Linked DNA regions of Macaca mulatta. The protein of the gene in region 6 interacts with the protein of the main gene of each other region in a pairwise test. Links are inferred from orthologs where the notes say so. Each region holds a gene or a part of one and is shown on either strand. Other genes may lie near its edges.

Region 1 (3,084 bases), on a different chromosome or scaffold from region 6:
ATCCTCCATCCTCCCCAGGCTCCAGGAGGGGCTCCTGGAGAGCACACCTGGGCCCAAGCCCACTGGCCACGCCCTGGGCACAGAGCTCCTGGCTGCATCACATCTCTGAGAATGGTGCCGACTGCCCATTAGCAGGTGACGCTGATGCAAGGTCATGTGACTAACCAGGGAGGCACCTGCCCTGGATGGACCCCGACTACATCTTCTCTGCTTTCTCTATAGAAGGGTCATCTGTGTTTGCACTTGAAGAAAACAAAAGTCGCTCTGGGAACCCAGAGGACCTTGGCAGGTCTGGGAGTACAAAAGGTCATCACAGCAGATTCTGCTCCTTCTACTCAGGAAACCCAGCCCATAATCAGCTGCAGGAAACCTAGAAGCTGAGACTGCCCCACGGCACTGTGAGGGGACATCCCCGCGGAGCAGCGTCCCAGCCTCGTCCCTGGCGGGGCTCCAGCCCCAGCCCCAGCCCCAGCCCCCTTCTCACCTCTCCGAAGACAGGCCGGACCAGCGTGGACAGGCACTGGGACCTTGGCTGCCTCTTGACAGGCTCTGCGGGCTGCAAAGGAAGTGGAGGCCCAGGGTGAGCAGGGCAGTGCAGGCGACAGGCAGGGCACTCCCATCCCTTCAGGCTCTAGCCTTGAAGGGATGGAGACTGGGAGCAGCCTGTCATGGCACATGCCCAGGGCTGGCCCCAAAACCATCAAGCCACCCAGATGGCCTGACTCAGGGCTTACAACTCCCACCCACCCTCTCCTCACAAATTTGGCTCCTAACAGGCCCTCATCTTCCCAGCACATGCTGGGGCTTGGGGTCTCCACACCAGGCCCAGTGCCACAGTGGGCTTCAGACCACCCCTGCCTTTCCCAAGCTCCTTGTCCAAGCCCCAGACACTGGGTGGACAAAGCTGGGTCCCGCACCCAGCCCCAGGGGTGCACAGCAGGCAGAGGCCAGGCCGGGAACAGACCTTCTGTGAGCTGTGCAGGGCCGTCCCCTTGTGAAGCTTGCTGTGTGGACTCGGCCGGATGGTGGGGGGGAACGTCCAGATGGGGCCCTGCTCCCCGTCCTCCGCCTCGCCATCACTGAAGAGGATGAAGAGTTGCCAGGGTCAGTGGGGGGAGAGCCAGGAGGCACAAGGGCCTCAGGGCACACCTCACGGCCAAGGGAAACCCGAGGTACTGGGCGGCGCTCTGCCAGGCCACGGAGTCCAACTGATGCCTCAGCAGGCCCTGTCCTGTAGCCTTAAGGGGGTCCCTGCCCAATACTATATCTGGTCACTCTCACCCCTAGAGCCCACGCCCCTGCTTCTGGAGTGGGGACCACCCACGTCACAACACCGAGGGTCACCATGAGGATAAACCAGGCCCCTACATGTCAGAGTCCTCGGAGCTGGACTCCTCGCCATGCCCCTCGGACTTCCAGCGCTTATAGCGGTCGATGAGCTCCGTGAGGAAGGAGGTCTTCTTGGTGTAGCGTGTGATGAACTTGTGCTTCAGGAGCTCCTTGGCTGTGGGCCGCTGTGCGGGGTCAGGGGAACATCGGTCACTGGGCCCAGCCAAGCTCTGCCTCAGGAAAGCAAATGTGAGGCAGCCTGGACTGGGGCAGGTCCTCACGGCTACAAGGCTGGGGGGCCTAGGCCTCCGGGCTGTGCTGCCCACCCCAAGCAAATGCCCTCCCTCCATATGCCCATCCAGAAGGGGCCAGGCCAGAGGCGGGCCTTACGAATCGGGGGTCCTTGTTGAGGCAGGCCTCCACGAACTCCTTGAACGGCTTGCTGTGCTGGCCCTCCAGTGTGGGAGGGCTGTTCTTGGGAATCAGGAACAGGACGCGCATGGGGTGGAGGTCAGAGTTTGGAGGCTCCCCCTTGGCCAGCTCGATGGCCGTGATCCCCAGGGACCAGATGTCGGCCTGGACAGAACACAAGGACTGTCGCTGCCCTGAGCACCCCAGTCAGGCGTGGTGCCCGCACCCGCCCGCCCACCCACTGCACCCACCTTGAAGTCATAGGCCGACTGCTTGATGACTTCAGGCGCCATCCAGAAGGGGGTGCCCACGAACGTGTTCCTCTTAATCTGTGTGTCTGTGAGCTGCCCTGCTACCCCAAAGTCCGCCAGCTTCACATCCCCCTGCTCCGAGAGTAGCACGTTGGCAGCTGCTTGACACAGGACAGGCAGACGTCATGCCAGGCTCCACGTGGCTCCACCCAGGGCCCCCTGAGAAGGGCCAGGGTATCATCCACCTGGCCTCCTAGGGCACAGCAGGGCTGTCCTCAGGACTTCAGCCCTCCTTGCCACTCTCAAACCCAGGGCCACCTAGGGCCACAGGGGCACTGCCAGAAGGAGCCTAAGGTCTCCACTCCGAGCTCCAGGGCTCTCCCTGCATTTGGCTTTTACAACAAATCCCAACGACAGGTGACTTCGCCCACTGGGGGCTACCACAGAGGTGACCCTGATCAAGGGTGTGGCCACCATGGGCCTGCCAGGAAGCCCCTTGCTCCACCAGACTTGTCCCCTACATGAGAGAGATGACTCGGTGCCGGTGGCAAGTCCCTCCCCACAGGCTGGCCCAACCTCATGTCTGCACTTAGCAGGGCCAGACCACACGCTGGGGCTACTCAAGCCTACACCTGCTGTTGTGCTGTGAGCCACCGGGAACCAACAACTCTGGCTAAGCGTGGCTGTTCCTACACTCAGTCCACAGCTGGTTTACTCAGCGTACAAGGAAACTGTTACAAACAGTATCTTCTGGAAATGGAGCAAGACAACTGCTCAGTTTCAGGGTGGCCACAGGGTTCTCTATACCCCAGACGCTGGGCACCACTAGCCACTTGCCCCTCACAGGCCCCAGCCTCTCTAAGGTCAGTGGGGCTCAGGACATTACAAGAGCCACATTCACCCCCAGCAGGACCTTTGATGTCTCGGTGGATCTTGCGTTCGGAGTGCAGATAATCCAGGCCCTTCAGAATTTCCCGCAGGATCGTGGCAATGTACGTCTCCTCCAGGGGACCTGGTTTAAGCTGGAGAGGAAGGTGGGACAGCAGGGCCTCAGCTCCTGTCCCAGGCCCAATGCCTGAGTTCTCCTGTCTCT
Region 2 (4,582 bases), on a different chromosome or scaffold from region 6:
AGGACAGCCCCAAAGTGAGGCTTAGCCAGAGCCCCTCCCAGACAACCCCCCTGCCCCCACCCGCTTCCCTAACCTCAGCCCTTCCCAGTTCATCCCAGAGCCCCTCTGGGGATCCTCTCTCACCCAGCCCCAGCAGGGGAAGGAGACAGGATGAACTTTTACCCTGCTGCCCTCACTGCCACTCTGGGTGCAGTAATTCCCTTGAGATCCCACACTGGCAGAGGGACCAGTAGGTTCTGAGTGGTCTGGGGACTCCCTGTGACAGCGTGCATGTCTCAGTATTGATTGAGGGATGAATAGATGAGGAGAGGCAGGAGAGGAGGCTGATGGGGAGGTCTCAGGCACAGACCCTTGGAGGGGAAGAGGATGCGAAGACCAGCGGCTGGCTCCCCAGGCGGGGAGGGCTGATGGGAACCCCTAGTGGTGGGGCTGGGGTGTCTGGTCTCAGGCTGAGGGGTGGCTGGAAAGATACAGGGCCCCTTAGAGGAGAAAGTGGGAAGAACCCCCCAGCTCAAACGAAGTTCACTTATTCACTCAACAAATCGTGATTGCGCAGCCACAGTGGCTACCAGGCGCTAGGTTCAAGGCACTGCGGGCACCAGAGCTGCGGAGAAGATCGCTGGTCCTGGCCTCAGTGCGCTGGGCGTCTAGCGGGGATAAGAAGGCAATAAAGACGGCACGGAGTAACTCAAACAATTCCAGACAGCAAGAGAAATTACAGGAAAGAAAACAAATGTACGTGGGGGTGAGGCGAGGAAACAACCTCAGCTTGGCAGGTCTTGGAGGTCTCTGGGAGAAAGCAGGGTCTGATGGGGGGCGGGAGGTGGTGAGCCGGGAGCCGTCCAGGCGGAGGGAATGGCGAGCGCAGAGACAAGCTGGCAACCGGTTCAGAGAGGCGCGGAGGGGTCAGCGTGGCTAGCTTAAAAGGAGACGGGGACTAAGGGGCAAGACCGCCTCAAGGGTCACCGCTTCCAGGAAGCCTTCTATTTCCGCGCCACCTCCGCGCTCCCCCAACTTTTCCCACCGCGGCCCGCAGCCCACCGGTCCCGTTCGAGCCGCCTTCCTGGTCCGGACCACGAGTGCCAAGAGGGCAGGGCCGGCTTGGATTCCTCCAGCCGCATCCCCGCGACGTCCCGCCAGGCTCTAGGCACCCCGTGGGCACTCGGTAAACATTTGTCGAGCGCTCTAGAGGGAATGAATGAACCCATTGGGCACAGCTAGGGGGAGGGCGGGGCCGAGGGCAGGTGGGAGGCCGCCGGCGCGGGAGGGGCCCCTTGAAGCCCGTCCTCCTCCTCCTCCTCCGCCCAGGCCCCAGCGTGTACCACTCTGGCGCTCCAGAGGCGGCCTCTTGTGCGATCCAGGGCGCGCAGGGCTGGGAGAGCGCCCCGGGGCCCCTGCTCTCCACGCCAGAGGTTGGAAGAGGGTGGGTCGCCGCCGCCTGAGGGCGAGAGCGCCAGAGGAGCGGGAAGAAGGAGCGCTAGCCCGCCCGCCTGCCTCCTCGCTGCCTCCCCGGCACTGGCTCTCTGGACTCCTAGGCTTGCTGGCTGCTCCTCCCACCCGCGCCCGCCTCCTCACTCGCCTCTTCGTTCGCCGGGGCTGCTTTCCAAGCCCGGCGGTGCGCCCGGGCGAGTGCGGGGCGAGGGGCCCGGGGCCAGCACCCAGCAGGGGGCGGGGGTCCGGGCAGAGCGCGGCAGGCCGGGGAGGGGCCATGTCTGGCGCGGGCGCAGCGGGGCCCGTCTGCAGCAAGTGACCGAGCGGCGCGAACGGCCGCCTGCCCCTTCTGCCACCTGGGGCGGTGCGGGCCCGGAGCCCGAAGCCCGGAGCCCGGGTCGCGCGTAGAGCCGGCGCGATGCACGTGCGCTCGCTGCGCGCTGCGGCGCCGCACAGCTTCGTGGCGCTCTGGGCACCCCTGTTCCTGCTGCGCTCCGCCCTGGCCGACTTCAGCCTGGACAACGAGGTGCACTCGAGCTTCATCCATCGGCGCCTCCGCAGCCAGGAGCGGCGGGAGATGCAGCGCGAGATCCTCTCCATTTTGGGCTTGCCCCACCGCCCGCGCCCGCACCTCCAGGGCAAGCACAACTCGGCGCCCATGTTCATGCTGGACCTGTACAACGCCATGGCGGTGGAGGAGGGCGGCGGGCCCGGCGGCCAGGGCTTCTCCTACCCCTACAAGGCCGTCTTCAGCACCCAGGGCCCCCCTCTGGCCAGCTTGCAAGATAGCCATTTCCTCACCGACGCCGACATGGTCATGAGCTTCGTCAACCTCGGTAAGGGCAGGCGGGGGTACGCGTGTCTGTTCGGGGGCACTTTGAAACCGGGAGGGAGGGAGCCGCTTCTTCTATACAGCCCGCCCAGCTTTCTGCTCCTGGTTGAAATCGCAGTGCCTGCCCGAGGGTCTCCCACCCACAGCCCTATGGCTCCCAAGCTGTGTGCGCCTCCAGGTCTGGCGCGCTGGGCTCGGTGGGCCTGTGGGGGTTACTGGGAAGGAGGGATCTTCGGAAGTCCCCTCCATGTTACGCCGCCGGCCGCATCTCTGGGACTGGAGGCGCCGGCCGTTCAAAGCGCGGGGCTTGGTCATGTGAGCTGTCCTGGGCTGGCGCGGCTCGCGCTACCTGGATGTAAAGGGCCCTTCCCGGCGAGGCTGCCTTCCCGCCCTTCCTGGGCCCCTCTCAGCCCTGCCTGGCCCTGGCATCTCGGCCGTCGCACTCCCTTACCCGCCCTGACAAGCCCTACCTGTCCCCTAGTGGTGCGCCCGCCTTAGCCTACCGCGCGCTCCGAACGCCTTGGGGCCCCTCTCCGGGCCGCCGGATGCCCCATTCTCTCTTGGCTGGAGTTGGGGAGCTTGCTAGTTTGCGTTCTTTTATTTTTTCTTTTTTTTCTTTCTTTTATTTTCTTTTTTTCTTTTTTCTTTTTTTTTTTTTTTGAGACGGAGTTTCGCTCTTCTTGTCCAGGCTGCAGTACAATGGCGCAATCCCTGCTCACCGCAACCTCTGCCTCCCGGGTTCAAGCGATTCTCGTGCCTCAGCCTCCCGAGTAGCTGGGATTACAGGCATGCACCACCACGCCTGGCTAATTTTGTATTTTTAGTAGAGACTGTGTTTCTCCATGTTGGTCAGGCTGGTCTCGAACTCCCGATCTCAGGTGATCCTCCTGCCTCAACCTCCCAAAGTGCTGGGAATACAGGCGTGAGCCACAGTGCCCTGCCTCTAGTTTTCTATTTTAAATATTTAGTGGTAGGTCTCAGGCCGGCAGAATCCATTTTCAGCATTTATCACGTGTGGCGCGCAAACCACAGGTTTTGGCGATTGGGTTGCGCGGGATCTCCGAGCTGACGCCGCGGGGGCGACTGGGGGTCCCGGTTTACGATTGGAGCCGCGACGACCCCGGGGACGCGAGCCTGGGGCTGCGGCGAGGGCCGGGGAGCTCCCCCTCCGTCTGCGCGCACTCATTCTCCAGACTTGCTCAAACTAACCCCCGGCAGCGCTCTGCGGGACTGATGATCAAATATTTGGTTTCCGAGATAACACGCCCGGATAGCGCTGTTTCCTGAGCGCTTTCATTCTACTTGTGTAACTTGCTGCGAAAACCCGAACCAAGTCAAGACAGCAAACTCACGCCCACGGGCGCTGTGTCAACATGGAAATAATGATACTGAAGCCCCACGCTGGGCACCTGGGGCGTGGACTGGGGGCGCGGGGAAGCGCAGATCCGCCTTCATGCTTCCCCCTCCTGATAAGGTCCCTGGAGTTCCCGGGGAGGCCATTGTCTGTACTTAATAACCAAATCCAGCTAGTGAGCCAAGCTTCAGCGAGCAAGGGGTGGGAGGTTTAGATGCCAAAATACCTTCAAGAAAGTTTAAATTATACTAAGCAGCCAGTTAAGAGGGAAGCAGCAACATATGACCTGATTTAGAACCATCTCCCAGATGCATGAGGTGGAAAGAAGCAAGGTGCAGGTGAGCGGCCTGCATGTATGCTTTTGTGTATCATCGTGTCCTCCTGGAGGAAGACACCAGGAACTGGAGATTTTACTGGAGGGCTAGAGAGGTGGGGGCACAGCTGGGGCTTAGGGAGTGGGAGCTGGGGTCTAATGTTTCATTGTCTGCACTTCTGTATTGGTGATTTTTTTAAAAAAACAATGCGTATTTATTAACTATACCAAAAACTAAAGGAAAATTCCAAATACATACACACAAATAATGAACGCAGAGCTCTGTCGCCCTCCTGAAGCCTGGGGTTAGCCAAGGCCCTTTCTCTGGTGGGGGATTTATGGCATCTTCCATTCTGTTGGGTACCCTGGACTCCCACTGAATGTGCAGATCCCAGCGGCTGCCTTCAGAGCCTGGCTGGGGTCATTAAAAAGGTATTTGTAATCTCCGGCTTCTGTAGAAGGCCCTGCAAACCAAGAGCAAAAAAGCTGCCACTGCTTATGGGCCGGCGGTGTGGGCTAGGCCCCAGGGGCTCCCTGTCCCCCAGAGAAAGACCAGCTTGCTCGGAGGGTGCCTCTGGGAACCTTGGTGCTGGCTATTTGCTTCCCCCATGGCGGCAGGAGCAAGCTGGGACTTGTTTGGGAAGGCCACAGC
Region 3 (2,928 bases), on a different chromosome or scaffold from region 6:
ATGTCTCCATTTTAACGTCCTCTGCATAACAATTACATACAACGGCTAACTCCTCAAGAAATAATATTTATAAATGATACTATCTCTGTTCAACATCTCTCCCCTCTTAAAGATTGCTTAATTTGAAAACAAAGCGTTCTATGTCTTCCTGTTAGACCCTGTCCTAAATTCCCTATTTCCCAGGCCCCTCCTACATGGTTAGAGGAAATATAAAGAACATGCAATCACCTAAGCAAAGTGAGGACAAAGACAGTTTCTCTTCAGCGCTGAGTCTAGAGAGCAGAGAAGCAGGGCAAGCCGGAGCCAGATACCACTGGAGAAAGGAGCCAGCCACGTGTGAGGCCAGGTTACAGAATCAGTTCAACTGCCCATCAGTGGGGGCTGTGGTGGCAGAACCCAAGACCCCTTCAGCTGAGGCTGAGCCCAGGCTAGGGCTAACAGCACCGCAGTGATGCCAATACACTGCCCTTCATTCCACTGGCTCAGCCCACCCCAAGGTCAGGCAGGCAGATGACCTCAATGCCCCAGCAGCTTGACAATGTTTCTTCTAGAGGCAAGGCTGGTGCTGCCATTGCTTCCTCCACGTGAGTGATACAAGTGCCATAGGAAAAGGCCAATCTGAGAGTCCATAGCCCTCAATAGGAGGCAACCACTGCCCAGGGAGCAGCAGACATGAGGCAAAGGAGATGCAGGGAGACATTTAATTTACATAGCAGCCACTTGGGGTCCAGTCAGAGCTGGGGCAGTGGGGAAACCTATAACCCCAGAGGGTACCCCCAGACCCCCGGCCCCCGGGAAACCAGTCCTCACCAACCCTTGGATGGGCTCCCAAGGTTGTGCAGAAGATGCTCCAGTCAAAAGGAGAGAGACATTTGGGAATAAGGCTGTCCCCAAGTTGGGGGAAGTCCACGGCCTGGAGTTGGTGGCCTATGTGGTGGCCCAGGGGTCTGAGAGACCAGTCCATGTCCTGGGCGAGTCCTCAGCCTGGTAGCCCTAAAGGAAGCCTTCGCGGCGGAACTGTTCCTGGAGGAGGGCGCGGTACTGGTCAAATCCTCCTTCCACGCGGGTGACGCCGCCTCCTTCGCACACCCATAACTCCCGGCACACCAGCCTGATAAAGCGTTCATTGTGGGACACCAGAATCACACCACCCTGAAAGACACGAGAGCAGGAGGTGCTGAGGGGGACACGAGAGGCACCGAGGCCTGGGGAGGAGTGGGCAGGGTGAAGGCACACTCACCCTGAAATTGTTGAGGGCACGGCCCAGAGCCTCGATGGTCTCCATGTCCAGGTGGTTTGTGGGTTCATCCAGAATGTAGAAGTTGGGGCTGGAAGGCAGAACCCAGGAAGGTAGGCAGTGAAGGGGTGTGGTGAGAGAAAATAAAGCCTTCTGATACAGTTTTCTACTGGGCAAGAAGGGGAAATGGGAGGGGAAGAGCTCTAGAAAATGAGGCCTCACCAGGGCATAGTCATCTGAGCAAAGGCCACTCGGCTCTTCTGGCCCCCAGACAAGCTGGCAACAGGACGCATAGCCAGCTCTCCGGAGATGCCATACCGACCCAGCTGGTGACGGTACTCCTCCTCAGGCCGCCCTGGAAAAGGACTCCCCAGATCAGGTGGTTTCTTGGCCCAACTCCCTCCCTGTACCCTCCAGCCACACCTCCAAGTCCCCATCTAGGCTTGGGAGGGCTGCTCTGCACTCACTCCAAGGCAGGTCTAGCTGCCGGGGTCAGCCTCATCCCTCTTTCCCCACTCAAATCCCCAACTCACCAGGAAACTTGCGTGCCAGCAGTTCCACAGCACTGATGTTCAGGTCCAGCTGCTCCACGTGGTGCTGGCTGAAATAGCCAATCTTCAGATTCCTGAAGACAGAAACCGAGGTGGAAAAGCAGACAAAGGCAACAGCCATGAAGGAGTGCAGGAAGCATGGGTGCCTGCAAGTGTGCTCATGGGCGGGGGTGCCTCTGACCTGTGAGCGTGTCTGATGCCCCGAACAGGTGCCAGGTCCCCCATAAGCAGCTTCAGCATGGTAGACTTCCCGGCCCCATTCTCTCCAACCTTAAGAAATGTGAAAACGTCATACAGTGTGTGCCAGAAAAATAAATACTGTAAGTTCTCACTCATATGTGGGCACTAGAAAATGTTTAGCACATAGAAGTAGAGAGTAGAGTTCTGGTTACTAGAGGCTGGGAAGGGTAAGCGGGGAGGAGGGGAATTGAGAGAGGAGATCGGGAGAGGTTGGTTAACCAAAACAGAATTGTAGCTAGATAGGAGGAATGGAGGAATAAGTTCGAGGGTTCTACAGCACTGCAGGGACGCTACACTTCACAATGACTGATTGTACATTTTTAAAAAGCTAGAAGATTTTGAATGTTCCCAACATAAAGTGATAAATGTTTACGGTGAATATGCTAATTACCCTGATTCGAACATTACACATTGTATACATGTATGGAAATATCACTCTGTACCCCATAAACATGTATAATTACGTATCAATAAAAAGAGCACCGCTGTGTGTAACACAGAAGGGAAGGAAATTAGAAGGGGTCTCAGGCAGTCCCCAGTCCCAATGACTCCATCAACAACCAAAAAAATATTTTTAAGGACTCTAGCCGGGCGCAGTGGCTCACGCCTGTAATCCCAGCACTTTGGGAGGCCGAGGCAAGCAGACCATTTGAGGTCAGGAGTTTGAGACCAGCCTGGCCAACATGGTGAAACGCTGTCTCTGCTAAAAATACAAAAAATAAGTTGGGCATGGTGGCAGATGCCTATAATCTCAGCTACTCATGAGGCTGAGGCAGAATTGTTCGAACCCAGGAGGCGTAAGTTGCAGTGAGCCAAGATCGTGCCATAGAAAAGCCTGGGCAACAAGGTGGGACTCTGTCTCAAAAAAAAAAAAAAAAAAGAAAAATACATGTACTAAGG
Region 4 (4,572 bases), about 16 Mb from region 6:
CAAGTGTTCTCACAGATGAAAAACACTGATGTACAAACATAAGTAACTTACCCAACATCACAGTCAACCAGGATTTGAACCCAGACAGTCCACTTCTCCCAAAATTTCATTTTCTTACCTTGATTCCGATACTCAAAAAGACGGGGATCAGCATGAATGGGAATGAGCCCCAGACGGTGAGCAAGGATCTCATCCTGAACAATGGATGTATTATTGTACACCAGGACCTTCTCCACAGCCATAGTTGGCACCTGCCCAAGGAAAAATAACCACTTATCTGCAAAAACCCAACAGACCCCCTACCTATCCCCACAACCCCACCCTCCAGAGGTAAGGAGCTATCTCTCTTCCTAGAATGTTTAATGAGAAATTTACAAAGAATGAGAAGGTAAAATGCTCAGCAAAATTCCAGGAAAAATGAGGGAAGGACAGCTTGAGACAATTCTCCAAGTGAGGTGTCAGTGCAGTTCCCAAAGCAACTCCAGCCTTGTCACCATGCCTGCCAATACCTCAGCTAACAGAATTCGTCGAAAAGCATTGGCAATGGCTGCGTCAATTCCCACCATGTCGAACTCCAGTGAGTTTTCATCCATGTGTACTACATCCACACGGAAATTCTAGAGGGACAGGAAAAACATTTAAGTGAAACCTGCTCTCTCTGTAATATCTCTTCATACCTCCCCCTTAGATAATTCCCTCAAGTATTATCCTCTCATCCAAAAACCTCCCTTTGCCCAGATGTCCCTTATTAAATATTCTTTCTCGCCCAGTGCTTTAGTTTCATAAAAAGTCTCCATTTTTGTCGTCCATTCATTAAAACCCTATGCAATATGGCTTCCAACCAAACCATCCACAGAAGCTATTCCACTAAAGAACAGAAACTACCATAGTGCTTAGTCCTGTTGACACTACCCAGTCCTCTTACTAGACTTCTGTTATGCTTGACATTGATTAAAAAACCTCCTCTGGGCCCAGCACGGTGACTCACACCTGTAATCCCAGCACTATGGGAGGCCGAGGGGCGGATCACAAGGTCAGGAGTTTGAGACCAGCCTGGCCAGCATGGTGAAACCCCGTCTCTACTAAAAATTCAAAAAATTAGCTGGGCATGGTGGCGCGTAGCTGTAGTCCCAGCTACTCGGGAGGCTGAGGCAGGAGAACTGCCTGAACCCAGGAGGCGGAGGTTGCAGTGAGCCAAGATTGCACCACTGCACTCCAGCCTGGGAGATAAGAGTGTCTCATGAAAAGGAAAAAAAAAAAAAAAATCCCCTTTTTTGAACGATTCCCCTGGTTTCTGAGCTCCACTCTTCTTCCATCTCTGATGATCAACTTCCACCCATCTCTAAATTTGCCAGGTTCTTGTCTCTCTCCCAGGTCACCTTAACTGTACTAACAGTTTTAGCAACTATCTGTTCTGACAACTCCCAAAATTTTATCTCACTTCTGATCTCATTTCAAGCATGCAGTCTTCTAGCCTGCTAGATTTCCCCACATACAGAAAACAATGCATCATCATCCCTGTTCCCCAGACCCATTTCTCCTCTTAGTAAATGATACCACAAAGCAAAAAGCAGTTCCCAAGCCAGAAAAAGTCATTTTATGCTACCCCCACAGCCTTTATCCAAGCAATCATAAATTTACCTTATATTCTTCCTTTGCTCTATTTCTACCATCAGTCTTAGTTCATATCTTCAACCTCAGCTTCCCTTACAACAGATCTGCCTGCTCCATATGATCCTCCTCAAACTCATTCCCTCCCAGCCATCAAGGTTGCAAATCTGATCATGTCTGCTTAAGAAACTATTCAAGCTCCCTATCATCCACAGTGTGACACACTTCAATCTTGCCGACCACTCATGCCAGAACTACTTGGACATTCCCGGAGCACATGTCACAGAAGTCATAATTTTTTTTCAAGCATTAGCCTTTTTCATTGTTCATACTTTATTCCTTGTATCAACAGGTTAAAAAAGTAAAATTTTCCCAGGCACTGATTTACACATCATGTTTATAAGCTGCATAAAGGGTAACATTTAGGTCAGTTGCATAAAGAGTAACATTCAGTAATCTATTTAAATGCAATTTTAACCCTTATTTTAAGCTAAGTGAAACAATAATACAAAAGACTAAATACACACAAAACCTGCATATCCTGAACTTCACTGACGTGAAACTCAAATCTTTCATAATTCAACTCCTGTTTTTTTTTTTACTTACCATTCAAGGTTCAATTCAGGTGTCCCCTCCTCTTGAAATGTTAAGTACCTCTCGGCCCCTCTTCCTGGTCTCAGCGGAATGCTCCCCACCCCAACCCTGCCGTCTTCATCGCTATCAACCACCTTCACCATATTACACTAGATGCACTTGTTTATACGCACCATTCCTCAACAAGACGGAATATCTCTGCAGAGATAGAAACCGTGTCTAATTTGGCCTGTAAACGGAGCGTCTAGCACATTGCTCAACAAACACAAACGGAGCGACCCCCAAAAGCAGCTGCTGAGACAGACACAGGCTGCTCAGGCCACAGGGTCTGGCCTTCATAACCCTCCCCAGACAACTTCGGCCCCACTTACCTTCTCGAAGCGGTCCTGGTCCCAGGCATCATCATAACCGGAATAGTTTCCGGGAAAGTCAGTGGTATGGACCTAGAGCAAAGGGACGAGTTTGTCCACAAAGGGACAATGAGCCCACGGCTATCCCCACGCCAATCCCAAGACCCACCCCTGTTCCGCTCTCATTCCTCCCGCCCGAGCTCAAGGCCACAAGGCTTACATTGCGAACCCCAAACTCCCCTAGAACCACGCGGCCCCGCATCTCCTCCACCGCCTGAGAAGCCGCCATCTTCAATCTCTCCACGAGACTGGAGGCTCTATCTGGCGCGTGCGTCCTAGTAGACTGGCTCCGTCTCCGTGGCAACGCGCCACCGCCTGGAATCTTAAATATCGCGAGACTTTTCCCCGCTTCCGTCCACGTCCCCAGCCTCCGGAAGTTGGTTTTGTCCAAACATCCGGGCTTCTCTTTTTTGTGTTCCGGCCGATCCCACCTCTCCTCGACCCGGGACGTCTCCCTCACTAAGGCCCACGTCTCGCCCACTCCTCCGCGCGCGGGGCTAGCGCGGGCTTCAGCGACGGGAGCCTTCAAGGGACATGGCAACTACAGCGGCGCCGGCGGGCGGCGCCCGAAATGGAGCTGGCCCGGAATGGGGAGGGTTCGAAGAAAACATCCAGGTAATGGCCCCAAGGCACTAGCTGCCAGCAACCCGAGGGCCAGCGATGTCCAGAAGTGTCTTGAGGATTCTTCCTGTGGGCCTGGAAGTCCGCTCCATTTGCAAAACTCTCTTCTTTGGGTCTTCGTGCACACTAAAGTCAGTAGGATTAACATTGACCTGAAAGGGCCAGACTAGTACTCCAGCCTGAGGGTCTCGGGTCTCTGGGCCCGCTCGAGGCATTAGGAAGAAGGTATTCTTGGAACAAGTTAGGAAGTTGGTCGGGGTCAGGCATGGAGTGGGGTTGGGTGGGATTCACTGGCATTCGCTGAAAACATATTATGTGTATAGTTTTGTTTGGGGCTTAGGAAAGAAGGAAATGGGCACTTTTTCAGCCTTTTAGTCTTTGGTAGGTAAGGTAGGAAAAAGACAGGAATGGAAGACTAGTAGTATGTTTCCCAGGCTAGAAAATTCAGCCAAAGCTAGAAACCAAGAGTTCTGAGAGCATATGAGGGGGAATGGAGTGGCATGATCTGTAGTGATTCCGAGCCGTATCCTCAGCAGTGGAAGAACAAAGCCCTAAACCCTGGGATGAGCAGAGGACTTAATGGATGGAACAGAAAAGTCCTGCACTCTAGGAGCCATTGTCTTCACAGGGCGGAGGCTCAGCTGTGATTGACATGGAGAACATGGATGATACCTCAGGCTCTAGCTTCGAGGATATGGGTGAGCTGCATCAGCGCCTGCGCGAGGAAGAAGTAGACGCTGATGCAGCTGATGCAGCTGCTGCTGAAGAAGAGGATGGAGAGTTCCTGGGCATGAAAGGCTTTAAGGGACAGCTGAGCCGGCAGGTGGCAGATCAGGTAAGCATGATTGAATCTTCTGCAGGTGGAAAGGTATACCTAGGTATGTCCCATGTTCTGGAGTTGGTGTTGGTGATGTTTGCCCCAGGTTGTCCAGTTAGAACCATGTAGAAATCAAGCGGAAAATAGGCAACAGGGTCTAGAACCAACAGTCCCACAATACCTATGCCCATCTTCCTTACTTCAGATGTGGCAGGCCGGGAAGAGACAAGCCTCCAGGGCCTTCAGCTTGTACGCCAACATCGACATCCTCAGACCGTACTTTGATGTGGAGCCTGCTCAGGTGCGGAGCAGGTGAGGAGCCTTCTCTTGAAGAAGCTTCCCTCCTAACACCTAGTCCTTTATGCACACTACAATCAGATTTCAAGCCCTGGGCTCTGGTGGGCTCCCCCTCTTCATGACCCCATCATCTCTCATCACTACACCTGTCACTGAAACAAATAATAATAGCTACCAACTTTCTCCTTTTTTCCATCTAGCTGACTACTCATATTCCCTCAA
Region 5 (4,461 bases), on a different chromosome or scaffold from region 6:
AGTTGCTGGGCAGATGGCCATTCAAAAGTATGTTTTGTGCAAGGTTGGGGTTTTTGCAGAATCTTTGTGATAGTTTTCATTATCAGATATTTATGCATGAGAACCCTCTTGTCATGGTTTTCTCCGACTCTGTCCGGGTTTTTTTGTTCTGTTTTTTTAACACAAGTGACTCCAATTAGATTAACAACTTTTGCATTCTCAGGACACTCACAGCCTAAGCCACCTCTCTACCCCTACGTTGTCAAACGCGATGGGAGTGTAGTAAGGCCACCTCCTTCCCTGGTGCTTTGTTCCCTGTAACCACGAGTAGTAATCCATCACACACCTGCTTCCCGAGAATCCTCGAGAAGGAATCGGCCGAAGGGCTTCAGCATCCAGAAAGCCCCGAAAGCGCCACAAACAAGGCTCTTCCTCCGGCTCCCCGGTGCTGCCCCGGGCGCGCGCCATCCACCCGGCTGACAAAAAGCACCAGGACATGACCCCGTCCCCTTTGATTTCTGTCCAGAGGTGGCGGACTCACCTCGGGGCTGGGATAGAGGACGGGTCGGGGTCGCTACGCTTTTTGCAAAAGGGTCAAAAGACTGATGGGGGTGGGTAAGGAGCTGACGCCCGCGCTCTAAAGGGGCGCCCCGCCAGCCATGGGGATCCTGGAGGTGCTTCTGCCTCGACGTCCTCCCAACATGGGTGCTGCCAGACTCCGTTGCGCTCCTGAGTTGCTCCTCACGTCATTCCAGCCGCCCGACATGGGTGCCTCACTTTCGGCTTCTGGGCCACGTCGGGGCGGCGGAGGACCCGGGGGGCCGGGCGGGAGAGTGGGAAAGGTGGGGCGGGAAAGCCGAGAGAGGCCCTCACCCGCCTTCCTGTTGGCGGGGGCGGCAAGTGGGTTTCTTTCTTGCGTTCAGATTTTGCAATAATTTGCAGCTGGACATAGGATATGGGAGACAAGGCTGCTCCTCGCAGTACACCCACCCACGCCCATACCTCCCTCGGCGAAGCGTGTCGCAGCGGGTTCCAGCGCAGGCTAAAGAGCTTCCGCAGCCAGAAAACCGAAAGCGCGCCGCGCACGCGCGCCAAGGAGTTCGGCGACGGCCCCGCCCTTCGCCTGCCTCGTCCCGCCCCTTCCGCGCCTTGTAGGGTGGGGACAGCGCGGCTTCCGCCGGGAGCCTGGAACCGAGCCCGGCAGCCGGGGGCTGGGCGCCAGTACCCACTCCGCCAGCCCCAGCCCGCAGACGGTTCCCTGTCTCCCGCGCCCCAATTTCGATTTTCAGACCCAACTCCTACAGGATTCTGAGACCCCGGCCCATCTCCCCACATTCCATTTCCAGCTGCAAATTACTGCAGAGTCTGAACCCAAGAAAGAAACCCGTTTGCCGTCCCCGCGTCTTCCCTCGCCAGACAGGTGGAGAGTGGGTGAGGGTCTCGCTCGGCTTTCCCCCTGCACCTTTCCCACCCGCCCGCCCGTCCCTGGGGGTCCTCCGTCACGCCGGCCATGGCCCAGAAGCCGAAGTTGGACCCCCACGTCGGGCGTTTGGGATACCTGCAGGCGCTGGTCACGGAATTCCAGGAGACCCAGAGCCAAGGTGAGAGCCACGGTGGGACCAGGTGACAGGGTCGGCTGTGACCGCCGCCCGGACCTGGCTCCAGTGCCGCTTTCCCGTTGCAGACGCCAAGGAGCAAGTCCTCGCCAACCTCGCCAACTTCGCTTATGACCCCAGCAACTACGAGTATCTGCGGCAGCTGCAGGTCCTGGATTTATTTCTCGATTCGCTGTCGGAGGAGAACGAGACCCTGGTGGAGTTTGCTATTGGTAAGGGCTGGGCCCGTTCGCTAGATGGCTAAATGGGCCGGGGTGAGGTAAGTGAGTTACAAGTGAGTCCTTGGGGCCTGGCGTGGTGGCTCACACATGTAATCCCAGCACTTTGGGAAGCCGAGGCGGGGGGATCACCTGAGGTCAGGAGTTCGAGACCAGCCTGGCCAACATGGCAAAACCTCGTCTCTACTAAAAGTACAAAAATTAGCTGGGCATGGTGGCGAGTGCCTGTAATCCCAGCTAAGCGGGAGCAAAAATTAGCCGCACACAGTGGTGTGCACCTGTAGGCCCAGCTACTCTGGAGGCCGAAGCAGGAGGATTGCTTGAGTCCGGGAGGCAGAGGCCAAAGTGAGCTGAGACTGCGCCACTGCACTCCAGCCTGGGCGACGGAGTGAGACCATGTCTCAAAAAAAGATGTTTTAAAAAGAGCAGTTTTGTAGCCAGGCGCGGTGGCACACGCCTGTAATCCCAGCACTTTGGGAGCCCGAGGCAGGCGGATCACCTGAGATCAGGAGTTCGAGACCAGTCTGGCCAACATGATGAAACCCCGTCTCTAACTAAAAATACAAAAATTAGCCGGGCGTGGCGGGCGCCTGTAATCCCAGCTACTCGGGAGGCTGAGGCAGGAGAATCACTTGAACCCGGTAGGCAGAGGTTGCTGTGAGCCGAGATGGCGCCACTGCACCCCAGCCTGGGCAACAGCGAGACTCCGTCTCAAAAAAAAAAACAACAACAATTTCAGGTGGGTGAGGTGGCTCACACCTGTAATGTCAGCACTTTGGGCGGCCGAAGCAGGCAGATCACTTGAGTCCCGGAGTTCAAGACCGGCCTGGCAAAAGCCCATCTCTGCTAAAAAAAAAAAAAAAAAAAAAAAAATTAGTCTGGCGTGGTGTCCCAGCTACTCAGGAGGCTGAGGTGGGAGGATTGCTTGAGCCTGGAGGACGAGGCTGCAGTGAGCTGGGATTGGGCCACTGTACTCCAGCCTGGGTGACAGAACGAGAATCTGTCTTAGAAACAAAAGTAACTCATATTTAGTGTTTTCATATCAGGAGAAGCAGAGATGGCTTGCAGTCTGTAACTTACGGCTTCTTTTGTAGTTATGATCTTAAGACCTATTGATTTATTCACTGGGCAGATATTTACTGGGCATGTACCGTATATGTAAACTACTGCTCTAAATGCTGGAGTATGGTGAACAAGTTAGGGGAAGTGTTTGCCCCTCAGGAGCTTACATTCTAGTAGGGGGGACAGGTGGTTAGCAAACAAAAAAGATGATGCTCAGCAGCAAATAAATGGGGTGATGAGAAACAGCAGTAGAAGGTGGTGGTTACTTCTGTTTTGGCCATCATGAGAAAGGCATTTTAGCAGGGACACAGCATGGGCAAAGGCCTTAAAACAGGAAGGAGCCAGAAGGAAGATGAATGTGGCAGGATCGTTATAGTGAAGTGGAGAATGGCACAAAAAGAGGATAGAGAGTTAAGCAGCACCAGAGCTTGCCGGAGCTTAGATCTAGGCCGTGGGAAATAGTTTGAAGCAGACAAAATTTTGAGAACAAACAAAAATCCCTTTTTCAAGCCATGCACAGTGCTCATCTGTAGCCCCAGATAGGAGGATCGCTTGAGCCCAGGAGTTTGAGGCTGTAGTGTGCTACGATTGCATGATTGCACCTGTAAATAGCCACCGCACTCCAGCCTGGGCAACACGCGCGTGATCACCTGGCTGAAGTCTTGTCAGGCTTCTCCACTGTAAAATTACTCTTTCTTTCCCCTCTTTACGTATTATGTATTATACCCATTGGAAGGAAGTCACTACATAAATTATCTTAAATCTTTTTCTTTTTTTTGAGATAGGGTCTCACTGTGTCACTTAGGCTGGAGTACAGTGGTGTGATCATAGTTCACCATAAATTTAAACTTCTGGGCTCTAGCAGTCTTCCTGCCTTAGCCTCCCGAGTAGCTGTGACTACAGGTGGACACCACCATGCCCGGCTTTTTTTTGTTTTTAATTTGTTTTCGAGAGGATCTCACTGTGTTGCCCAGACTGGTCTCGAACTCGGCTTTTTTTTTTTTTTTTTTTAATTTGTTGTCGACACACGGTCTCACCGTCTTGCCCAGACTGGTCTTGAACTCCTGGCCCCAAGAGATAAATCGCTTGTAACCCTAAACAGACCCTCATTTCATAACACTGATTCTTGAAGGCCCCAACCAGGAATGCAAATGTTCCCCCTTCCGGTTTGTCTCATTGCCTCTTTGTGGTTTGTTTCTTTATCCCCTTTATTTCCTATAATCTAGAAATTGGGTTGAAAGTCTTGATAGGATCAAGTAACACATTTTATTTTATTTTATTTTATTTATTTATTTATTTATTTATTTTTTGAGACGGAGTTCGCTCTGTCGCCCAGGCTGGAGTGCAGTGGCGCGATCTCGGCTCACTGCAAGCTCCGCCTCCCGGGTTCACGCCATTCTCCTGCCTCAGCCTCCCGAGTAGCTGGGACTACAGGCGCCCACAACCGCGCCTGGCTAATTTTTTGTATTTTTAGTAGAGACGGGGTTTCACCGTGGTCTCGATCTCCTGACCTTGTGATCCGCCCGCCTCGGCCTCCCAAAGTGCTGGGATTACAGGCGTGAGCCACCGCGCCCGGCTATTTTATT
Region 6 (4,567 bases):
TGCAATGGCACGATCTTGGGTCACCGCAATCTCCACCTCCCGGGTTCAAGTGATTCTCCTGCCTCAGCCTCCCGAGTAGCTGAGATTACAGGTGTGCACCACCATGCCTGGCTAATTTTTTGTATTTTTAGTACAGACGGGGTTTCACCATGGCCAGGCTGGTCTTCAACTCCTGACCTCAGGTGATCCGCCCACCTCAGCCTCCCAGAGTGCTGGGATTACAGGTGTGAGCCGCCACCCCCCCCCATGCCCTGCCTTGTTTTTTTTTTTCTTTTCAAAACAAAATTCCCAGTTAGGTGCAGTGGCTCACACCTGTAATCCCAGCACTTTGGAAGGCCAAGGCAGGTGGATCACTTGAGGTCAGGAATTCGAGACCTGCCTGGTCAATATGGTGAAACCCCATCTCTACTAAAAATACAAAAATCAGCTGGGTGTGTTGGCACATGCCTGTAGCCTCAGCTACCTGGGAGGCTGAGGTGGGAGAATCACTTGAAATGTGAGGCAGAGGTTGCAGTGAGTCGAAACCTTGCCATTGCACTCCAGCCTGGGTGACAGAGTGAGACCCTGTCGGAAATAAAAAGAAAAAATTCCCATATACCCCTATCATAAATTAATACATCAGCCACTTGTCGAGGCCTTGAGAGATTGGAGGAAGAGAGCAGAGCAAAAAATTCAGAATTAAGGCATTGTCAAGAAAGGAGAATAACACAAAGAGAAGCAACAGTGGGACTTACACAAATCCACTATTAGCACTTGTCTGAAGAATGGTAACAACGCAAGCTAACTGTATCCAATAATTTTACCCATCTCAGCTTTGCCAAGGATCAACCTTGGTCTACGCAGTTAGCAGGTTAAACTATACTGACAGGTCTGATTTCCAAGGGTTCCAAACTTGGCTCCTCCACGCTTTCCCCAAAAGAAAGGGAATCTCTTAGTTCTCTGGGTGAGTTCCCACTGCCATGTGCAGTTGATCCCCCTCTACCTACAGGTTCTGGGTGACATGCTGGACAAGTCTAAGGGAAGTAACATCAGCTCTACAGAAGAGGGGAGCACCAGCAGAAGCGACTGTGAATTCCAACAACCCTTACCAAGAGTTCAGCTCGTGCCTGTTCCCCTTGGGCCCGACGTCTCTTCTTTAAATCTTTCACTCTTTTTAAATGGTCAAGCTGGTTCTGGATTTGCTCCTGAGAAAAGCAAAACAGATGGGCAGTTCAAAACTAGGTAGACCTTAGCATCAGCATGGTACTTCTAATCACACATGGAGTCCACACACCTGATGCCAAGTATCCAGTTGGCACTTGTTCTCAGGCCACACTGCCACCCACAAGAGAAAGACTCAGGGCGCAGGGGCCAACAAGCCACTCATTTGGCAATTTGTGTCTATCTTAGCAGCCTGTCGCTTCAACCACTCAGCTACCTCGTCAGGATTATTTGTGTCTATCTTAAACAATGAATCATCTACCTGTCCCTGGTAGGATATCGCATGACTTAGCGGAACTGTGACTGGAGTAGGAGGCTTAGAGTTATGTTGTATTGTAGCTCTTCCACACAAGCATACTGTGAAAGTGACTTCTTATTTCCCTCATGTGTGAAATGGGCAAACACCATCTTCCCAACCTACTCAAGAGTTCTCACCAGAGTAAGTGAAAGAATATAGCTGAAAGGTCCATAAATGTTAAGTGATTAATTACACATGAATGTATTCATATTTAAACACGGACATAATTGTGTATGAATTCCTGAAGCCCTCAACATACAGAAAATACACAGTATCATGGACTCCTTGAAGGTCACCTTACAACTGTTTTATATGTAATATTTTGTTTCCACGTTTCTGTTTAGCTGTGCCAGTTCACAGAGGGCTCTGTGCATCACATGATTCCATAATCTTCCTCATAACTGTTATCTCCTGAGTCTCAGAGTGGTTAAATGACTTAAGCAGTGAAGAGCCTGTTCTTTTCTGTGAGTTTCTAGACCAGGACGTATTGCAGGAAAGTGCTGGGGAAATGCTTATAGACCAAGGAATGGGCATCGGTCAGTTAATGTCCGACTGCGTTTTGTCTGACAGCCGACGAGAGTACATGTGTCTCTACAGCTCGTCGATGTGCAAGCGATTTTATGCACTTCTTTTATACTGTCAAAAGCATGTCTCCGTGTACAATGTGTCCGTGAGACAGGAAACATGGGGGCACACAGAGAAAGGAGAGTGGGGGTGGGGAGACTTCTGGCTCCCTCGCCAGCTACAGGTTTTCCTCCAAATCTGAGTGCTGAGGCTCTGGGGCGGACAGAGAGGAAATGACGGCTGTGAACCACACGTCCGGCTCAGCCATTTTCTAGGCGGAAAAAGGGAAGCCCCTTTGGCTCTCTCCTCCCTTTGTCCGACTCGCGTTCCCGCCCTCCCGGATCCGCGCCCTCACCTTGAAGCCCTCCACTGCCTCCTCGAGCGGCAGCACGCTGTGGCCGCGGTGCTCGCGGGAGCGGTCGCACACCACGCAGATGGGCATCTGGTCCTCCTCGCAGTAGAGCTTCAGGGGCTCGCGGTGTTTCTCGCACACGCCCATCTCGCCGCCGGGCCCCGACGGCCGCTCGGTGCGCAGCTGCTTCACCAGCTGGGTCACGTTGGCCAGGTGCCGGTTGGGCCGCATGTGCCTCTGCGGGAAGGTCTCCCGGCACTGCGGGCACGACACGTTAGTCTCTGCCGTGCCCCAGCAGCGGGCGAGGCACGCGCAACAGATGTTATGGCCGCAGTCGAGCATCATGGGCTCTGCGAAGTACTGCAGGCACACGGGGCAGGTGGTCTCCTGCTGCAGGCACTCGGCCACGCTCCCGGAGGCCATGGCGCGGGCCTGCGGGGGCTCACGGGCATGGGCCCCGGCGCCGAGCTCTGCACGGAGCCCAACTCTCCGGCGCTCTCTCCCGTTCGCTGTTCCTGGGAGGCACCGGGCGGACGGAGGGCGGTGCCTCCCGGGCCCGTATCCCAGACGCGCCCGCGCACCGAAGGCTCAGAGTGGCCGGGCCGATCCCTGCGCCTGTGCCCCCTGAGCGAGTGCGGGAATACAGCCGGCTCACAGAGACTCGCGGCCACGCTACTGGGGCAGGAACGGGTAGCCAAGGGTCAGGATCCCAGGGCCAGGCGCGCAAAGCGCGCAAGACAACGTGGCCGCGTCCGAGCGGATCCCGGCGGCCGCGTAGACCCCACCCCGGCGCGAGCGGAAGAGGCGGCTCGGGGGGCGGGGCTTGGCCCGCGCTTCTAGTGTGTGACAAGATTTCGTGGCCTCGGGGCCCGGGCTGCTTTCTCTAGAAAGGCCTGGGAGGCTCCGCCACTCTCCCTTGGGCGGGTCGCGCCGAAGCTCTAGCCTAGGGGACTGGTCACAAAAGCAGATGGTGCCACACGCTCCGGGCCTACAAGCTTCCGCGACTGCCGGGCCCAGGCCCCTAGTGTTTAGTTGGGTTTCTTCTTGGTGCCCAGGTCTCAGCCCCTGCTAAAGATGGCTTTGGCCGCGCGCAGTGGCTCACGCCTGTAATCCCAGCATTTGGGAGGCCGAGGCGGGTGGATCACGAGGTCAGGAGATCGAGACTATCCTGGCCAACATGGTAAAACCGCATCTCTACTAAATATAGAAAAATTAGCCGGGCGTGGTGGCAGGCGCCTGTAGTCCCAGCTACTTAGGAGGCTGAGGCAGCAGAATCGCTTGAACCCTGGAGGCGGAGGTTGCAGTGACCCGAGATCGCCACTGCACTCCAGCCTGGGCGACAGAGCGAGACTCCGTCTTGAAAAAAAAAGAAAAGAAGAAAGAAAGCTGGCTTTATATAGGTGCTGGGGAGCGCAGACATCTGGCTTCCCCAAGAGGCTGGAGGATGAGGAGGGTCACCGTCTGAGCCCACCTGATAGGTGAGGCCTTTTATTAAACAGACCCATTTGTAGGCACTTGCAGTTTTGTTTAGAAAAAGAAAGGTTTAATTATCAGATGGTAACATTTCTGTGTGGCAATAACAAGCCCAGCTCTGCTACCTCTCACTTGTGCCCAAGCAAGTTGGTTTACCATTCATTTACCTCAGTTTCTCCTCGTGTGAAATGGGGATGATAACTGTACCGCCGTAAAGAAGTAGATTTCGTTACATCTTTTACTTTTTGAACCATAAGGTTGTTTATCCATTAAAATAGTAACAAAATGCCCATTACATAGGGTTGTTGTATTGAGGAGCAACTAAAAATTGCTTGCTCCTTTCTGAAGTATAGAGAGACTAAGAATCCTACAGTGACCCAGGGTCTTGGAGTCCCACAATACTCGTTGTCTTATCATGCAGTAGACCTCCAGCATTTTTAAGTTGCTTTCTTATCCCTTGCTTGATGTCTCCTGCTTTTCTTTGAGATTTTCTCAATATTGTCCTGCTATCTGAGCAATACGGGCTTCTGCTTCCAGACCTTACTTGATTTTTATTTTATTTTTTCAAAGTGAAAGTACGTTTATTAAGAAAGTAAAGGAATAAAGAATGGCTACTCCATAGGCAAAGCAGCCCACATCATCACTTTAGAGTTCCCCTCTGGTCCTCTTCCCCATGGGAC
Region 7 (3,817 bases), on a different chromosome or scaffold from region 6:
TCTTATCTGTAAAATGGAGATAGTTCCACATACGTATCTCAAAGGCTATGGTGTGAGGATAGAAGAAGCCCAGTTATGTGAAATGCTCAGCACAGTGACTACAACATAACATACATGTCAGTAATATTGATAATAATTTTTACTATTATATTAGCATGTGTTAGTCTTACAGCAAGCTTTCAATGCCTGGGAGCAATTACTATCATTGTTGTTGCTGCTGTTCTTATTTCAGTTCAAATTCCAGCTATTTTACTCATTTTCTGTTAAGGGTTGGACAAGCTCCTTAGCTCTCAGAACCTCAGTTTACTCACCTATAAAATGATAGTGCCTGCCTCACAGGGTTTGAGGTAGGTGTTTAAATCAGGTGGCAGTAGTAAAATGCCCAGTATGAATGACAGGCAAGAGGAGATTCTCACTAAGTGGGGAGCCCTCCCACCTTCTCCATTTCCAAGGCATTGTACCTGTGTCCAGGTGTTCATTTACATAGGGGAGCTAAGCCATGTGAGGATAGCATACCTGGGTTTCTTGAGCTGCCTGCTCAGGTACTCTCCAATAATGGGGTTTTGAAAGTCATAATACTTTGTCCAGTAGACGCAGAGTTGCTGGTAGTTTATGACTAATTCCAATACCGTCCGAAATCCCCGGGCTGTGTTGAAATCTGTTTCCATGCTCCCTTGCTCCCAAGCATAGACTGTCAGGAGCTCCAGGGCATACTGAGGTGGTAGCTTCCCAAGCTGCTTCTTACACTAAGAAGAGGAAAAACAATCAGAAAAAAAATTGGTTTGCTCAACTTTTGTGTAAACTCCATTTCTCATGGGTCAAATCCAGCCTGCCACCGGTTTTTATAAAGTTTCCTTGGAACAAATCCAGGCTCATTCATTTATGTATAGTTTATGACTGCATTCATGCTACAAAGGCAGGGTTAAGTAGCTGCAACAGAGGCTGTGCAGTCCACAAAGTCTAAAATATTTACTATCTAGCCCTTTGTTTTTTTTTTTTTAAAAGTGTGCTGGCCCTTTGTCAAGAGTGCTGGATTCTTATTGATGTGAGTTTGAATCCTGGCTTCACCATTGTCCGATTCTAAGTTGATGACTTAGACTCACAGACCTCATTATTTTCATCTGCTAAGTGAGTGGTCATAATAGCACCTATCTTATAAGGATACTATGAAAATTAACTGAGAAGAAGGACTTGTAATGTTGCTAAGAAATGCACAGAAGCAAATGAAGTTCTTTCTGGAGGAGTATACATAATCCAAAACCTGAAATTATTTCACACATAATTTTCGAATACAATGACCAGCACATATGCAACCAGGCACAAAAGGAAACAAAACACTAAGAGTTATGACCAACAGAAAAAAAGAGAAATAGTAATAAACTTACAAAACTTTAAATATTGAAAGACTGAAACAGACTTTAAAATAACTAGGAACCCTACAAGGAAAACTACAAAACATTGCTGAAAGAATTTATAGATGACACAAACAGATGGAAACACATCCCATGCTCATGAATGGGTAGAATCAATATCGTGAAAATGACCATACTGCCAAAAACAATCTATAAATTCAGTGCAATTCCCATCAAAATACCATCATCATTCTTCACAGAACTAGAAAAAACAATCCTAAAATTCATATGGAACCAAAAAAGAGCCCACATAGCCAAAACAAGGCTAAGTAAAAAGAACAAATCTGGAGGCATTACATTACTAGACTTCAAACTATACTATAAGGCCATAGTCACCAAAACAACATGGTACTGGTATAAAAATAGTCACATAGACCAATGGAACAGAACAGAGAACCCAGAAATAAAGCTAAACACTTACAGCTACTGATCTTCGACAAACCAAACAAAAACATAAAGTGGGGAAAGGACGCCCTATTCAACAAATGATCCTGGGATAATTGGCAAGTTGCATGTAAAAGAATGAAACTGAATCCTCACCTCTGCCCTTATATAAAAATCAACTCAAAATGAATCAAATACTTAAATCTAAGACCTGAAACCATAAAGATTCTAGAAGATAACATCCAAAAAACCCTTCTACACATTGGCTTAGGCAAAGACTTCATGACAAAGAACCCAAAAGCAAATGCAACAAAAACAAAGATAAATAGATGGGACTTAATTAAACTAAAAAGCTTCTGCAAAACAAAAGAAATAATTAGCAGAGTTAACAGACAGCCCACAGAATGGGAGAAAATCTTCACAATCTATACATCCAACTGATATCCAGAATCTACAAAGAACTCAGACGAATCAGTAAGGAAAAAACAAACAACTCCATCAAAAAGTGGGCTAAGGACATGAACAGAGAATTCTCAAATGAAGATATACAAATACCAACAAGCATATGGAAAAATGCTCAACATCCCTAATTATCAGGGAAATGCAAACCAAAACCACAATGTGATACCACCTCGCTCCTGCAAGAGTTGTCATAATAAAAAATAAAAAAAAAATAGATGTTGGTCTGGATGTGGGGAAAAGGGAACACTTTTACACTATTGGTGGGAATGTAAACTCATACAACCACTATGGAAAACAGTGTGGAGATTCCTTATAGAACTAAAAGTAGATCTACCATTTGATCCAGCAAACCCACTAGTAGGTATCCACTCAGAGGAAAAGAAGTCATTATACAAAAAAGATACTTGCACACACATGTTTATAACACCCCAATTTGCAATTGCAAAAATATGGATCCAACCCAAATACCCATCAATCAATGAGTGGATAAAGAAAATGTTAAACACACACATACTCATGCACACACCATGGAATACTACTCAACCATAAAAAGGAACAAAATAATGGCATTCACAGCAACTTGGATGGAATTGGATACTACTATTTTAAGTAAGTAACTCAGGAATGGAAAACCAAACATTGTATGTTCTCACATATGTGGGAGCTAAGCTATGAGGAAGCAAAGGCATAAGAATGATACATGGGACTTGGGGAACTTTGGGGAAAAGGTGGGGGGTGGCAAGGGTTAAAAGATTACACATTGGGTACAATGTACACTGTTTGGGTGATGGGTGTACCAAAATCTCGGAAATCACCACTAAAGAACTTATTCATGTAACCAAACACCACCTGTTCCCCCAAAAACCTATTGAAATAGAAAAATTAAAAAAACATAGTTGTCTCTCTGTGATCAGCGGTTTGAATGAGGACAGGAAAGGAGAGGTATCAGGTATCAGAGCCATATATGTATACACATGAATCTGTGTGTGCTCATGTCACAGAAAAGAAGTGCAAATAAAACATAAGATAAATAATAAAAATTAAAAATAAAATAAGTAGGAATATCATATTCACAGGATAAAATAAGAACTTTCAATAGTTAGCAGGGAATTAAAAGCCATAAGAAGTAACATGGTAGATACAAAAATATGAAATAGAAATTTTAGGATAAAAATGGCAACTGTAATTAATAGTGCAACAGCAAATTAGATATAGCTAAAGAGAAAATTAGTTAATTAGAAGGTAGATTAGAAGAAACTATTCAGAATAAAGCATGGAAAAATCGACAAAAAGATGAAAAATACAGAAGAGAGTATAGAGATATGAAAGATAGAGTAGGATCTAACATACATTTAATTGGAATTCCGGAAGGTGAGGACAGAATGAGGGAGAATCAATCTTTTAGAAGGATGGCTCAGAAGTTTCAAAACTGATTAAAGATATCTATCCACAGATTCAGGACTCTTAAAGGAATCCCTATCAGGACAAATAATAGGAACCCATCATTAAGACACAGCAGACTGAAGCTAAACAAAATCAAAGACAAAGAGAAAACTTTT

The links.
Region 1: the proteins of TRIM27 (region 6) and STK25 interact in binary tests that used the Homo sapiens proteins (3 or more experiments, as listed by UniProt). The two-hybrid records come from large-scale screens. The link is inferred for Macaca mulatta from reciprocal best matches to the Homo sapiens genes TRIM27 and STK25.
Region 2: the proteins of TRIM27 (region 6) and BMP7 interact in binary tests that used the Homo sapiens proteins (3 or more experiments, as listed by UniProt). The two-hybrid records come from large-scale screens. The link is inferred for Macaca mulatta from reciprocal best matches to the Homo sapiens genes TRIM27 and BMP7.
Region 3: the proteins of TRIM27 (region 6) and ABCF3 interact in binary tests that used the Homo sapiens proteins (3 or more experiments, as listed by UniProt). The two-hybrid records come from large-scale screens. The link is inferred for Macaca mulatta from reciprocal best matches to the Homo sapiens genes TRIM27 and ABCF3.
Region 4: the proteins of TRIM27 (region 6) and POLR1C interact in binary tests that used the Homo sapiens proteins (3 or more experiments, as listed by UniProt). The two-hybrid records come from large-scale screens. The link is inferred for Macaca mulatta from reciprocal best matches to the Homo sapiens genes TRIM27 and POLR1C.
Region 5: the proteins of TRIM27 (region 6) and ARMC7 interact in binary tests that used the Homo sapiens proteins (3 or more experiments, as listed by UniProt). The two-hybrid records come from large-scale screens. The link is inferred for Macaca mulatta from reciprocal best matches to the Homo sapiens genes TRIM27 and ARMC7.
Region 7: the proteins of TRIM27 (region 6) and OAS1 interact in binary tests that used the Homo sapiens proteins (3 or more experiments, as listed by UniProt). The two-hybrid records come from large-scale screens. The link is inferred for Macaca mulatta from reciprocal best matches to the Homo sapiens genes TRIM27 and OAS1.

Annotation. Positions count from the first base shown.
Region 1 is NC_133417.1:146,790,732-146,793,815, forward strand, and holds part of STK25 (serine/threonine-protein kinase 25), read right to left. Parts: intron 3,014-3,084; coding exon 2,905-3,013; intron 2,150-2,904; coding exon 1,992-2,149; intron 1,924-1,991; coding exon 1,720-1,923; intron 1,515-1,719; coding exon 1,369-1,514; intron 1,080-1,368; coding exon 965-1,079; intron 557-964; coding exon 485-556; intron 1-484. UniProt on the Homo sapiens protein: Oxidant stress-activated serine/threonine kinase that may play a role in the response to environmental stress.
Region 2 is NC_133415.1:110,055,139-110,059,720, reverse strand, and holds the start of BMP7 (bone morphogenetic protein 7), read left to right. Parts: upstream 1-1,735; 5' UTR 1,736-1,849; coding exon 1,850-2,267; intron 2,268-4,582. UniProt on the Homo sapiens protein: Growth factor of the TGF-beta superfamily that plays important role in various biological processes, including embryogenesis, hematopoiesis, neurogenesis and skeletal morphogenesis.
Region 3 is NC_133407.1:96,327,460-96,330,387, reverse strand, and holds the end of ABCF3 (ATP-binding cassette sub-family F member 3), read right to left. Parts: intron 2,059-2,928; coding exon 1,970-2,058; intron 1,863-1,969; coding exon 1,771-1,862; intron 1,593-1,770; coding exon 1,460-1,592; intron 1,329-1,459; coding exon 1,241-1,328; intron 1,153-1,240; coding exon 994-1,152; 3' UTR 688-993; downstream 1-687.
Region 4 is NC_133409.1:138,600,683-138,605,254, forward strand, and holds the start of POLR1C (DNA-directed RNA polymerases I and III subunit RPAC1), read right to left. Parts: upstream 2,866-4,572; 5' UTR 2,845-2,865; coding exon 2,776-2,844; intron 2,649-2,775; coding exon 2,577-2,648; intron 618-2,576; coding exon 510-617; intron 252-509; coding exon 119-251; intron 1-118. Other genes in the region: protein YIPF3, read left to right, coding at 3,150-3,230, 3,865-4,071, 4,259-4,365. UniProt on the Homo sapiens protein: DNA-dependent RNA polymerase catalyzes the transcription of DNA into RNA using the four ribonucleoside triphosphates as substrates.
Region 5 is NC_133421.1:84,791,216-84,795,676, forward strand, and holds the start of ARMC7 (armadillo repeat-containing protein 7), read left to right. Parts: upstream 1-1,416; 5' UTR 1,417-1,489; coding exon 1,490-1,580; intron 1,581-1,663; coding exon 1,664-1,807; coding exon of another isoform or gene 1,808-1,839; exon of another isoform or gene 1,840-2,211; intron 2,212-2,512; exon of another isoform or gene 2,513-2,546; intron 2,547-4,461. UniProt on the Homo sapiens protein: As a component of the minor spliceosome, involved in the splicing of U12-type introns in pre-mRNAs.
Region 6 is NC_133409.1:154,415,047-154,419,613, reverse strand, and holds the start of TRIM27 (zinc finger protein RFP), read right to left. Parts: upstream 2,927-4,567; 5' UTR 2,838-2,926; coding exon 2,418-2,837; intron 1,185-2,417; coding exon 1,089-1,184; intron 1-1,088. UniProt on the Homo sapiens protein: E3 ubiquitin-protein ligase that mediates ubiquitination of various substrates and thereby plays a role in diffent processes including proliferation, innate immunity, apoptosis, immune response or autophagy.
Region 7 is NC_133416.1:120,168,922-120,172,738, reverse strand, and holds part of OAS1 (2'-5'-oligoadenylate synthase 1), read right to left. Parts: intron 747-3,817; coding exon 517-746; intron 1-516.